3 linked regions of the Ovis aries genome follow. The protein of the gene in region 1 purifies or fractionates together with the protein of each later gene. This does not show direct contact. Links are inferred from orthologs where the notes say so. Each region holds a gene or a part of one and is shown on either strand. Other genes may lie near its edges.

Region 1 (4,371 bases):
AGCCGGGGGCCTCCAGGTGAGGGCCCGCTGCACTCCCCGGGAATGAGAGGCGGCCAACAGGCACGCTCAGGCTCCCTGACCCCAGCTCTCACTTTCAGAGCCTCCGTGTCACCATGGCCACACACCCCGATGGCTTCCGGCTCGAGGGACCCCTGGCTACGATGCGCAGCACGGGGCCTCGCGCTGTGCTCTATGAAGGCCCTGTTCGCGGGCTCTGCCCCCACGCCCCCCGAAACTCCAACACCATGGCGGCCGCTGCCCTGGCCGCCCCCAGCCTGGGCTTCGACCGTGTGATTGGGGTGCTTGTGGCTGACTTCAGGTGAGCGGAGCTGAGTAGGGGTCTGCGCTGGGGCCAGGCCAGCTAGACTGACCACCCTGCTTGCCCTAGCCTCAAGAACGTGCACGTGGTGGATGTGGAGCTGAGCGGACCCCCGGGCCCCACAGGCCAAACCTTCACTGTGCACACGCACAGAGAGAACCCCGCAGAGCCAGGCGCTGTCACCGGCTCTGCCACCGTCACCACCTTCTGGCGCAGCCTCGTGGGTACGGCCAGGCTCCTCCTGGGCACTAGCAGCCCCTCTCTGCAAGCCCCAGGCGGAGCTTGAGTCTCAGGCTTTCTGAGTCTGCAGTTCTGATTCCGTCTCTGTCGACTGATCTTTATTTCTGAGTCTCCTTAACCTTCTTCTCCACGACGTTGTCTTTATAGATCCCTCTCTCTCTCTCTCTCTCCAAGTCTCCTCTCCCAGCCTCTGTGTCCCTGTCTCTTGGGGACTCTAGCACATACGTGAGTCTCTCCACCCGCCAGGTGTCTATCCCTCTTCCTCTAGGTTTTGGCCCCCCTCTCTGGGTCTCTGTTCCCTTCTGAGTCTCAGTCCCTCCCTCTAAGTCTTTCTCCGTCCCCACGGTGGCCTGTTCCTTCTTCCAGGTGTCTGTCTCTCCTCATCTCTCTGTCTTAGCCTTTCATTCCCCGTATCTCCCCCGCAGGGTGCTGCCAGCTCCCCTCCAAGCCGGGGATCCATCTCTGCTGAGAAGCCTCCCCCTTCCCAAGAGGACTTCCTCATCTCATTATTTACCTCCCACCACCACCGACCCACTGCTGCCCTGGCCTCAGTGTCCCCATACATCCCTCTGGTCTCAGTAAACATTGGACGCTCTTCTCCCTGCGTGGTCTGGTTGTCTGATCACTTTCCCTTCCGTGACGTCACGCTGCGTCGTCACGCTAGGCATGACGCCAGCCCAGGGAACGGACGTACAGGGAAGTAACACCCCTCGAAGCTATCGCGAGAGCCTCCTCACTACGTTTCCCAGAAGCTTCCGAGCAGCAGGAGGCGTGGAACTGTGAGGAGAGGACCGATTTAGGGCACATTTCCGGGACTCGTCGAAGGGCCGACGGAAGTTGTAGTCCCGGCTTCTCGGGGCGACAGCGGACTTCCGGGCCACACTGCCCGGACGTTCCGTGAGGAGCTCTCGTTCTCGCCGGAGTCGCCGGGAATCGTAGTCCGGCTCGCGGGGGCCGCCGGGAGCTGTAGTCCGTCCCACCTGCCCAGTCAGCGCGGTGCCGCCCGTCCAGCGCTCTCGGAGCCCGGAGCCGCCGCCCGGGGGGATGCGGGAGCCCCCGGTTTGGGGGAACAGAGAGGCAGGCGGGGTGAGGGGCATTTCCAGGCCGCGGAGCGGGCGAGCGCCATGGTTGGGGTACAGGTCGGGGAGACAGCTCTGTTACTCGGTGTCCGGGGAGAGGGCCCTGTTGCCAGGTGACAAGAGGAGAGAACTCTGTTGGTTGGTGACAGGGGGGAGCCTTCTGTTGCTAGGCGACCAGAAGAGACCCTGTTACCTAGAGACGGGGAGGAGGCTTCTTCTATTGCTAAGTAACCAGAGGAGAGCCTGGTTACCTAGTAGGGGGCGAGGAGGGGTACGAGGAGGCTCCTCTGTTGCTAAGTAACCAGAGAGGAGGCCTGTTAACCTAGGGACAGGGGAGGGGAGTTCTCTGTTGCTAGGTGACCACCACAGGGACCCATTCACTTAGGGATGTGGCGGGGGCCGGGGCGGGGGGAGTGGTCCTCTGTTGCTAAGCGAGAGAAGAGAGAGCTTTTTTCCTAGAAATAGGGAATGGAGGTACTCTGTTGCCAGGAGATCGCCAGAGTCAGGGGCCCCTCAGGCTGCCCGAGCCCCCACTCAATGACGGTGCCCCCGAGGGCCTGCTGGCAGGTTCGGCTTCCAGATCCCAGACTCCTAAGCACCTTCTCCCCCTACCCCTCCAAGCAGGAGCCGAGGACGGCATGTCCCAGGCCCCAGGAGCTCAGCCAAGCCCGCCCTCCGTGTACCACGAACGGCAACGCCTGGAGCTCTGTGCCGTGCATGCCCTCAACAACGTCCTGCAGCAGCAGCTCTTCAGCCAGGAGGCTGCCGATGAGATCTGCAAGAGGTGACCATCACCCACCCCAACCCCTGGAGAAGCAGGGCTCACGGAGGCGGGGACACCCACCTGGGTCTCAGAGCAAAGCAAGGCCCGGGGCAGAGCCCTGCGGCTTTCTGCTGCCCCATCCCCTGCCCTGCTGGACTCCGGGACTCAGAAACCGAGATGTTACCCAGGCATCTACTCACCCCGCTGACCTCAGCCTTTTACCTAGGCCCTCAGCCTCACTCTCTTCCCGCCTCCCAGCTTCTGGTTTATCTCCTTCAGTCCCGGCTACACAGGGCTCCCGCACTGCACCTGCCCTCCCCCACTCCCAGGGCTCCCCCAGCACCCCTGGCAGAAGCCCCAAGGCTCCGCGCCCAGCCTGATAACCAAAACCCTGTGTGCCGTGGCCCCACCCGTCTCTGCAGCTTCGTATCTCACTGCTTGCTTCCAGACAAATTCCCTCTAGTCTCTGAATGAGCCCCACATGGTGCCTCTGGGCCTTTGCACAGGCTGTTCTTTCTGCCTGGCACGGCTCTCTCTTCTTGGCAGCCTGGAGTGTGCCGCCTCACTATTCAGGATTTCAAACATCACTTCTTTGTTATCTCTCTGCCTGAGCTGCTCCTCTCTGGCCCCACTGCCTTCTGGACCCTCCCCTCAGCCTCCAGTCTCTCCCCTCCAGTCAGTCCCCCATGTGATCCTATGCCCCCAGATGACCCTTTCTCCCCATCTCTTGCTCACAGCCCTCCCATGCCTCCACCCCTGCCATCCTCAGGCCAGTCCCAGGCCCTCAGACTGATTATTTTAGAATGTATTCACCCCCTCCCATCATTCAGAACAGGAATCAATCAACTCTTTCATGGCTCGGCCTTGCTGGAGACTCCGAGATGAGTCTACTGTGAGCCCCTGCCCTAAGGGAAGCCAGGGAAACAGATACACAGAGGAAGAATACACAACTTTCCCCCTCTCCCGCCCCTCCCCTTGCCTTGCCCCCCAAAGGCCCGGAGACAGAACAAAGTTGCCTTTGTCTCAAGGAGGCGGGGCCCAGAGACAAGTGGGCTGGGGGACAGCTGGAGAGAAGGCGGGGGGCAGGAGCACAGGAGATGCGCTGGGTCAGGTGGCTGCGAGGAATGGGGTGGGCATGGATCCAGGAAGCCAGCAGGGCCCAGATCCTGCCAGGGACAGCTGGGGGCTGGGGTTCTCTCCTGGGGTGACGGGGGTGCCAGGGACGGCTGGGGCAGGGGCAGTGCTGGGTGTAGAAGGAGCCCCCAGGAGGGGTGAGATTGGAAGCTGGTGAGGGTCCAGGAGGAGGAGGGCAAGGCCTGAGCAGAACTGTGGGTGGGGGACAGGAGGAACATGGCTGGGGGTGATGAGTCGGCAAAGGGTTGAAGAGAGGGAAGAATCCATGGCTGGATGACTCATGGATCCTGGGACGCTTTGGCTCTGTGAGGGAGGGGGATGCCTTCTCAGGAACCCCCAACTCAGGAGGCCCTGATCACCTCCCACTCAGGTTGGCCCCAGACTCCCGGCTGAACCCCCATCGCAGCCTCCTGGGCACCGGCAACTATGACGTCAACGTGATCATGGCTGCCCTGCAGGGGCAGGGCCTGGCTGCCGTGTGGTGGGACCGAAGGAGGTGCGGGCCGTAATGCTTCGTCAGGCATGCTGAGCTGGGCGCGGTGGGTGTGGTGGGACGGTGGCCGGTGGGGGACGAAGCAGAGGGAGGGGACGGGTGGATGGGAAGGAGGAAGGAAGGGGCAGATGGGTGGAGGGTTTGCAGCGATGGATGACGGGTGGCTGGCCCACTGAGGGCTCGGGAGGTGATAAAGGGACGGTCAGGGTGTGAGCTGATGGATGGATGATTGGCAGATTGATGGGTAAGTGGATGGTGAATGGGTAGGATGGGTGATGGGCTATATGAATGGATGGGTGGTTGAGTGAGTGATAGATAAAGGATGGATCATTGGTATGTGTGA
Region 2 (4,315 bases), on another chromosome or scaffold:
CGGGTGAAGGGGGAAGCTCCAGGGGTGAGCCGCACCCTTGTATGCCGCCAGGTGGCGCCATTACCTTGCGAGCAGCCCGCGGTTTCTGCAAGGTTGCCGCGGTGCTGGAGGGCCTTTGGACTGCGGGATGCCAGGGGAGGCCTCAGAAGGGTGTAGGGATGCTTGGGAACGAGTACCAAAGCCTTACACAACACAGCCTACAGCCAGTCCTAGGAAGCTTCCGGCGCCCTAGGTAGCCCACTAGCTCACTGCCCCATGGTCAGGCTCTTTGAACCAGAATCTCCTTCCCAAGAGGCAGCGTTTGCCTCTTTGACACCGTAAGAGTGGGCAGAACAGAACCAGAGCAGTGTGGTTTCTGCGCAACACTTTGTGACCTCCTCCACCACCGTCTCCGCTGGGCCTTGCTTGTTTACAGGTTCTTCATGTCGCGGAGCTGATGGGATAGGGCTAAAGATGGTTAAGAGGGTGGGAGAGGAAAAGGGGTGGGGGAGGGGAAGAGAAGTCGACGTGTCCCTCCATCCCCCCACCCCCAAGCGTTTGGCTCTGCCAGCTTCCAGGGAGGCACTAGGGCATTCATGAACTATTCACATGCTTTTACTGGGCCTGGCTATGTGCTACCCCTGTGCCAAGGCCGTGGATAGTACAGATGTGTGTAACACGTTTTTTGTTTCTAAAGGCTTAGTCCAGCTGGTGAGGCAGTGTCAGCTGAGGTTGCTTGTCCTTTGACATTCAAATGACATTGGCTCAAACTTCCACGTCCTGTGGAAAGTCCAATGCTCCCCCCTCCCCGATTTCTGTGAATTACTCGGGGGACAGAAATTTTCAAGGTTACCTCTGGCTCTAGTTTTCTGCCTCGTCTGAAGTTTTAGTCACTATTCTGGTCTTTGTGGCTGTTTCTTTAGTTCCTGCTTGTCAATTCAAATGTGGATAACAGTCCCTTCTTTCAACTCCCACCCCTATTCCAAAACAACCACAAAAATAATGCTGTAACATGTAGCAGAACTTTTAATGAAGTTTTGTGGGCCACAAGGGAGAGGTTACATCACATCACAAACAATTTGAAGTCACATTTCTGAAATGTTCTGAAAAGTTATTTTGGCCATCTCGTCACCCGGGACTTCTCATTAGCCCCACCACCCCACAAAGCTCCCTAGTCCATTGCCTGTCTCATCCCCCTTCCTCCTGTTCCTCCCTTCCCATCCCTCCGCCTCACCCTTCCCTCTATGATTGACTGGGAAGCCAGATCCCTCTCCACTCTGCTGAGTGTTCAAGACTTCCCAGGGCCCTTTTCCTAAATTCCTCCCATCCCACCTTCTTCCTCCCACCTCAGAGACCCGGCAGCTCAACTCTGAAGAAAGAAGTTGTGGCTTGAAGTAACGTTTTCCCCACTGGTTTACAAAATGTTGGGAAGAGTGTGAAATGCTTGCTTCTGGGGCCTCAGAAGTCTTAGTCAGAGAATCCCATGTTCCAGCCGCCCAGCCCCTTGAGGCTGCCTGTTTGAAATAGGTTGTGGAAGTGTCTGGAAGGAGGCACTTCTGCAAGGCTGCCTGTTTGAAATAGGTTGTGGAAGTGTCTGGAAGGAGGCACTTCTGCAAATCTTCATTTTAGGGTTCTCTCCTCTGCCCACTCTTTTTAATTAAAAAAAATTTAAATTCAAATGTAGTTGATTTACAATGTTCTGTTAGTTTCAGATGGTGTAAATACATTTTTTTCTTTCCGGCTGCGCCATCCCGCCTGTAGGATCTTAGTTCCCTGAGTAGGAATCAAACTCAAGCCCCCTACAGTGACAGCACAGAGTCTTAACCACTGGACCACCAGGGAAATCCCGCCTATGCCCACTCTTTCAGGCCCCTCGACTTCCCTCTCAGAAGTATTCGTGTAGCAGAAGAGAGAAAGAGATTGGGGAGCAGAATACGAGATTGATCCATAAGGGTGCCAGACTGGCACTTTTTCTTATTTCTCAGCTGGGGCCAGGAGCTATGCCTGCCCACCCAGGACTCTTTGCCTATATGGCCTGAAGTAGCTTTCATCGTGTGAGTTTGCCCAAACTGTTGGCAGCGTCCAGGGATCAGAGCTGTCTCCTTAGAGAACAGAGACAGAGCCAGCTAGAACAGAGGTGAAAACTCCATATCCCATGAATAGGAAAGCATGTGACTTAGGTTAGCTTATTTGAAAAAAAAAAAAAGAAAAAAGCATAGGTGTCTTTTGGCTTTGTCTGTCAGCCCCAGCTCTGCCATGCATGTTAATGTTCAGGCTGCTAAAGAGCTGGCTGGGGACTGGAGTTCAGCCTCTCTTTTATTCCGCCTGAACCAAAGTAACAGGTTTTCTCTGATACTAGACTCACAGAATTGCCTGCTCCTGCTGTGGACAATGGTGACAACAGGGCCAGACCTAGAGAAAGCAGTAACTTTGCAGTCTGAGCCACAGGAAGATCAACAGACGTGACTTCACTTACCCGAGTGTCCGGCCCAAAGGGAGGCTGGGGAGGCTGGCTGAGGCGAGTCAGAGTGCTTGCACTGAAGGTGGGGACCCAGCACGCCTTGCCCGGGTGGAAAGGCAGTAGGCCTAGGTGGCTCATGTCAGGCGAGAGCCACCAAGGGCATTCCTGGAAACCAGCCCTCTGCAGAGGACATGGGCAGTTGCCATCCCACCCGCTGGGTATGGGCTGCAGATCAAAGCATTCACCCAGTTAGAGTGTGATGACATGACGCTGGTGAGAGCCGTTGCACGCTCCCTCCTCCCTCCCCCAGAGGGCCCCACAAGGCCATGGCTGTGACTGCTTATGCATGAAACAAATAAACATCCTACCCAACCTGGCCCTGGGTCTGGCTACCAGCCTACCCACCCAGCTCTCTGCACTGAGCCTCTATGCTGAGTCAGGTGGGTGAGTCAGGGCTTACTCCCCTGAACTGCACCACCCACACAGACACGGCAGATGCTATGGGGACCCCAGGTTTGAGGACAGCAGGGACCCAAGGACAGGTACACTTGTGTGTGGTGGAGGGAAGTAGTCTCCAAAGGGTGTAGAAATCAGAGGGGGGGCATGCTCTAGAAAGGAGCAGTCTGAGGAGAGAGAGGTGAACTAGGAGATGCTGTCACCACAAGCATGGTGGCCCACCACAGGTGGGCTGGGATTGCTTACTCAAATTCATTCTTCTGTCTACCCCCCTAAATTACACTCCATGTGCATTCATTTTTTTTAAATTCATAAAATCTACAGTGAATGCTGGGCTTCTCTGGTGGCTCAGATGGTAAAGAATCTGCCTGCAATGCAGGAGACCCTGGTTCGATCCCTGGGTTGGGAAGATTCCCTGGAGAAGGAAATAGCTACCCACTCCAGCATTCTTGCTTGGAGAATCCCATGGACGGAGGAGCCTGGTGGGCTACAGTCCATGGAGTCACAAAGTGTCAGGCACTACTGAGCAGCTGACACAGGCACACCATGACTGCTGAAGATGTGCTCAGAGCAGTACTAGATGCTGGGACCACAGAGACAAGTGAAGTGCCGATCCCTACCTGGGAGTGATGGTGGGTGGAGGATGGGAGGGTGAGCAGGAAAGGCTTTATACAGAAGATGCTGCTCCAGCTGACTCTTGACAGATAAGCAGCTGGATAAGCCAGAGAAGGTATCTCAGGCTGAAGGAATAGCCTGAGAAAAGGCAGGGCCCTGAGGCACCCTGGCATATTAGGAGAACTGTAAAGATTTCAGTGTGGGTGGGGCATAGGGGCAGGGCTGGGTGGAATGAGAGCCGCTGTGAGAGCAAGATCCTGCGGAGCCTGGTGAGCTGTGGGTGGGTGGTGATGAACGCGAGGAGGAGAAGCAGGTCAGGTGGAGAGACTGCTGAGATAAGGAGTGAACTTGAGCTGTTTGAGTTTTAAATTTGTGTGCAGTGCACGCATATCCCAGAGGCCCCAGCAATCCTAGGGTGGCACCCTTCACACCTGCCTGCTCCCTGCTGGCCTGGCACACTCCAGAGCAGGGCTGTGCTCTCCCTAGGGCCCCTTCACCTCCTGTGGTACTGGCCCCACTTTAGCCATCTTCCTTCTGTCCCAGAGGTGCCTGATTGTGCAACCCTGGGAGGCACCATAGGTATAGTAAGTGATGTGAAAGGTGCCCTGGGAACACGGCTTCGGATTGCTGGTCTGCCCTGCTGGCCCTGCGGGGACACCCGGAGCAAGACTGCAGGCTGTACCTCTGTGGCTCTGGGCACTGGCTCCCCTGGTGGGCCTTTCTCCTACTTCCCTCAATTCCCTGTTTCCCTCTTCTCGCCTCCTTCCTGCTCTTCTCTGCAATGCCAGCCCTGTTGGGGAGACT
Region 3 (4,180 bases), on another chromosome or scaffold:
CACAAGTATGTGTACCCTAGACACCTTGGAACCAGAAGGTTGAGATTCCCCAGACATCCAGACATCATCCAACCAATCAGAATAGTCACACATTGGCAGCCCTCACCCCAAATTTTGTTTGACATCTGGGTTTGGGTTTTCTTGAGCACTAGCTCCCTCTTGTGCCTGGCACTCTGTAATAAACCTTTCTGTGCTCCCAACTCTGACATTTTGGTTTATTTTACCTCTTTGTGCCACTGGCATGCAAACTTAGGTTGGACATCTATGAGAATTCACAGAATGGAAATTCCCTGGTGGTTGGGTGGTTAGGACTCACTACTTTCACTGCTGAAGGCCCCGGGTTCAATTCCTGAACTAAGATCCTACAAGCTGAATGGAGGGGCAAAGAGAAAAAGGAGAAGAAAGAAAAAGAGAATTAACAGGGCAAAAGAATTAAGCTTAAGGCAACGTGTAATTCTTTTGTCGTTGTTGTTTAGTCGTTAAGTGGTGTCTGACTCTTTAGCCTAAAAATTTCCTACCTAGTAATATCGAACTTCTATTTTTTTGGACTGATAGTAAACTCTAAGCCCAGAATGTTCTAGAAATCACCACAGCACATAAGGTCTTATTTTATTCTTTCTAAAAACAAAGCCATTAAAGTTCAGAAAGGTGTTAGGGTTCCCTTTCACTGAGGCAGAAAAATCAAGTCACTTTCAGCCTGAGGCCTGCGCTCTCCCCACGTGATGCCGCTTTTCCTTTAAACGCCTGCTTACGTGATCTTAGACTAGCACACGGGGAGGAAATGTACACTGTCAGGGTAGAGAGCCCTTTCTTCCCCCACCTTCGCAGGCGGAGGGTTTCTAGCGTTGTCTCCTCGGAAGCCCCAGTTCCTCTGGAGACTCTTTCTCATGTCCTTTGTCGTGTCACCCGTTCTCACTCCTTTCCGTTAGTCGCCTGGACTAGAGCTCCACTAGTACTACAGAATCCCGCTAGCCGGAAGGCGACAGGGACTACAATTCCCAGGGGGCATCACGGCCCCGCCCTCGGCAGCGCGCAGTGCTGGTCGGGGGCTGAGGTCCCACGGTGTTGTCGCCGCGTGCGGCCCTGAACAAGCGCACTACAGGTTCCGTGGCACCACGCGCGGGAGCTAGCCGGGTCGGGCGGGGCGGGTCGGGTTGCGCGGGGCGGGGCGGGGCGGGGCGGGGTGGGGAGGGAGAGGCCGGGCTGGCTGGAGAGTTGGCGGGCGGGCAGAGGAAGGGGGTGGGAGCGGAGGCGATGGAGGGGAGGAGTGGGGGAATGGGGGAGGGAAGGGGAAGGGAGGCGGGAGGCGGGGCCGAGCCGGAGCTAGAGTCTGAGCCGGCGGTTGCAGTGGAGGCGGTGATGTCGGTGCAGGTCGTGTCAGCAGCTGCTGCCGCGAAGGTGCCTGAGGTGGAGCTGAAGGACCTGAGCCCCTCCGAGGCGGAGCCGCAGCTGGGACTGAGCACAGCGGCCGGGAGCGCCATGGCCCCCCCAGCGGGCGGCGGGGACCCTGAAGCTCCAGCTCCGGCCGCGGAGCGGCCCCCGGCCCCCGGTCCGGGATCCGGGCCCGCAGCGGCTCTCAGCCCGGCCGCTGGGAAAGTGCCTCAGGCGTCGGCCATGAAGCGGAGCGACCCTCATCACCAGCATCAGAGGCACCGCGACGGCGGCGAAGCCCTGGTCAGCCCCGACGGCACCGTCACCGAGGCGCCGCGCACAGTCAAGAAGGTATTGGGGCCGGGCTGCCTCTTTCGGAGAGGGAGGGAGGTGGGGAACCGCAGATCCTCTCGGCGCGGCGGCACCACTCTCCACGCCCTCCCTTCTGATGCTGGAAGTAGAGACATCTCTTTTCCCCTTAAACCCGCTCTCTCAGAGATGCCCCCACACGGGCCCCAGTGCTGGGGGGCGAAGACTCCAGGTGGTACGGCCGTACTTCGCTGGGAATAACATGGAGGTAGCGCCCTTCCTTACTACTTGGAATAGGCTGGGAGAGGAGAGGCACCTCGTATTACACCTTTCTGTACTCCTAACCTACTCCCGTGTGTATTTTCCAGACTGTCGGGGAGAAGACCCCGATGGTGTAGAAAAGCTTTACTGCTTCTGAGAGTTCACCCAGTAATAAGGGTTGAAAGAGCTTTTCCGTTTGGACATCTTTTCTGTAAGGAGTAGTTACCTCGCGTTGAGATCCTCAGTTGTCTGGTTTCTGTACAGAAGATGACTCTCTGCCTTTCTGTGGCCAGGCGCTTCCATCTAGCAGTACTGATGCCGTGCCCTTCATTCCACATACTGCAAGATCCTTAGGTTTTCTCTGAAAGTAGAAGGGTAATAGGGTAATGGAGAGATTCACTCCACTCTTCTCTTTGAGGTTTGTCCTCTCAGCTCAGTAGTTGATCACCAGGATTGTTAGACTGTGTATAAAGAGAATGATTGTTTTTATTGGTTCTTTTATTATGGTCCGTAAGTATTAGGAAGAAATGCTTCTACTTTTGGGAAAGGCGATCACTGTCAGATTTTGCTAAGCTGCCAGCTTCTTTCAGATAGTTTTGAAGAGGCAGTAGTCTCAGAACACCAAGGAGTAGATAGATGTGCCTGAATGTTTGATATTCTCAGTATTATCCTTGCAATGGCTGTCTGTGGTGTCTGTCCTCTCAGAAAGCAAATCAGTACAGAGAAAAATGGCAAATATTGCAAAAACAAGTTGTGGATTATCGCTATAATTTCTGAGGTAGTATGCGAACATAGTGATATACTGGGTTTTTCGTTTTGTGAATGATTTATCAGAAAAGCAAGAAAGTGATGTGAAATCTGCACTGTGCAGGACTCAGCTGAGTTGAAACCTTGTATCCAGCCTAACTTTTGATTGTAATAGCCCCCTTATTAAGGTGTAAATCAGAAAACTCTTGCATTCTAATTACTAAAATATAGTGATAAGGTCAGAAGCAAGACTAAAGGAATTTGTTTAATGATGCTTTAGGACAGTGTCTTTCTTGTTTGCATAATGAAACTCCTCTGGGCAGAATTATTGGGGGAAAGAGACGTAGCATGGGCACCATGGCTTCCCTTGTGGCTCAGCTGGTAAAGAATCTGCCTGTAATGCGGGAGACCCTGATACAATTCCTGGGTCGGGAAGATACCATGGAGAAGGGATAGGCTTCCCACTCCAGTATTCTTGGGCGTCCCTGGTGGCTCAGCCGGTAAAGAATACACTTGTGATGCGGAAGACTTGGGTTCAATCCCTGGGCTGGGAAGATCCCCCAGAGAAGAAAACAGCTACCCACCCCAGTATCTTGGCCTGGAGAATTCCATGGACTATACAGTCCATGGGGTCGCAAAGAGATGGACATAACTGAGTGACTTTAATACATTCAAACACACATGAGCACCAAAGCTGGTAGTACCTAGATATGAGTCTGGAAATCTGAAACATTTGTAATAGTTGAGTTGCTTTATAACTTTGGCCAAATTCTGTGATTAAGGGTCTTTTTGTGTAAAATGTACAGATTAAGTCTCGAGTATAATAGTGTTCAACAAATTGCCTTTATTTATTTGACCTTGCCATGCAGCTTGTGAGATCTTTAGTTTACCAGGAATTGAATGCTGGGTCCTAGCAGTGAAAGCTCAGAGTTCTAACCACTGGACTGTCAAGGAGTTCCCCAACAAATGGCCTCTAGAACATGGGATTTACCGTCCAGCAGACCTGGGTTTGAATCCTAGTACCCCTATGAGCTAGCTTTTGGGTAATTTCTAAATTCTCTGAGTCTTAGTTGTCTCTTTTACAAAATGAGGTTGAAGCTTAGAAATATTTGTAGAGGACTTACTGTTGAACTTGGCACATATAATAAGGGCTTAAATTATTGCCATTGATAAGAGTTGATTTTATTTTTTTCTTCCTCCAATCATGGTTTAAGTGCACCACCATGGCTTCCTTTAAAAGATATATACAATTCAATGGCTTCTATGTAAAGCAGTGAACAACACGACAGGCCAGCATATCAGCCTGTTTTTCCTAATGCTAGATGTGTTTCTTGACCATTTTCCTTGTTGCTGAACCACCTTCTTCCTGTTTTTCCAGCATTAAAATGTGGGTCCCATGATTCTAGATTTACTCAGCAGCCTCAAGGCTGTGAGAGACAGGGCTGAGCTTGCCTTACAATGTTAATTGCAACCAAAAAACAGCTCCTCCACT

What was found.
Region 2: the proteins of JOSD2 (region 1) and AHCYL1 purify together in Homo sapiens (affinity purification with mass spectrometry; 4 studies listed by BioGRID and IntAct, counting the BioPlex papers as one, with this or other methods). This does not show direct contact. The link is inferred for Ovis aries from reciprocal best matches to the Homo sapiens genes JOSD2 and AHCYL1.
Region 3: the proteins of JOSD2 (region 1) and AHCYL2 purify together in Homo sapiens (affinity purification with mass spectrometry; 3 studies listed by BioGRID and IntAct, counting the BioPlex papers as one, with this or other methods). This does not show direct contact. The link is inferred for Ovis aries from reciprocal best matches to the Homo sapiens genes JOSD2 and AHCYL2.

The regions. Positions count from the first base shown.
Region 1 is NC_056067.1:56,372,209-56,376,579, reverse strand, and holds the start of JOSD2 (josephin-2), read left to right. Parts: upstream 1-1,525; 5' UTR 1,526-1,645; intron 1,646-2,259; exon of another isoform or gene 2,260-2,262; 5' UTR 2,263-2,276; coding exon 2,277-2,422; intron 2,423-3,905; coding exon 3,906-4,031; intron 4,032-4,371. Other genes in the region: ASPDH (aspartate dehydrogenase domain-containing protein), read left to right, coding at 1-16, 99-319, 389-543, 985-1,028. UniProt on the Homo sapiens protein: Cleaves 'Lys-63'-linked poly-ubiquitin chains, and with lesser efficiency 'Lys-48'-linked poly-ubiquitin chains (in vitro). May act as a deubiquitinating enzyme.
Region 2 is NC_056054.1:87,291,446-87,295,760, reverse strand, and holds the start of AHCYL1 (S-adenosylhomocysteine hydrolase-like protein 1), read right to left. Parts: upstream 2,856-4,315; 5' UTR 2,579-2,855; coding exon 2,456-2,578; intron 1-2,455. UniProt on the Homo sapiens protein: Multifaceted cellular regulator which coordinates several essential cellular functions including regulation of epithelial HCO3(-) and fluid secretion, mRNA processing and DNA replication.
Region 3 is NC_056057.1:94,835,967-94,840,146, forward strand, and holds the start of AHCYL2 (adenosylhomocysteinase 3), read left to right. Parts: upstream 1-1,325; 5' UTR 1,326-1,359; coding exon 1,360-1,722; intron 1,723-4,180. UniProt on the Homo sapiens protein: May regulate the electrogenic sodium/bicarbonate cotransporter SLC4A4 activity and Mg(2+)-sensitivity. On the contrary of its homolog AHCYL1, does not regulate ITPR1 sensitivity to inositol 1,4,5-trisphosphate.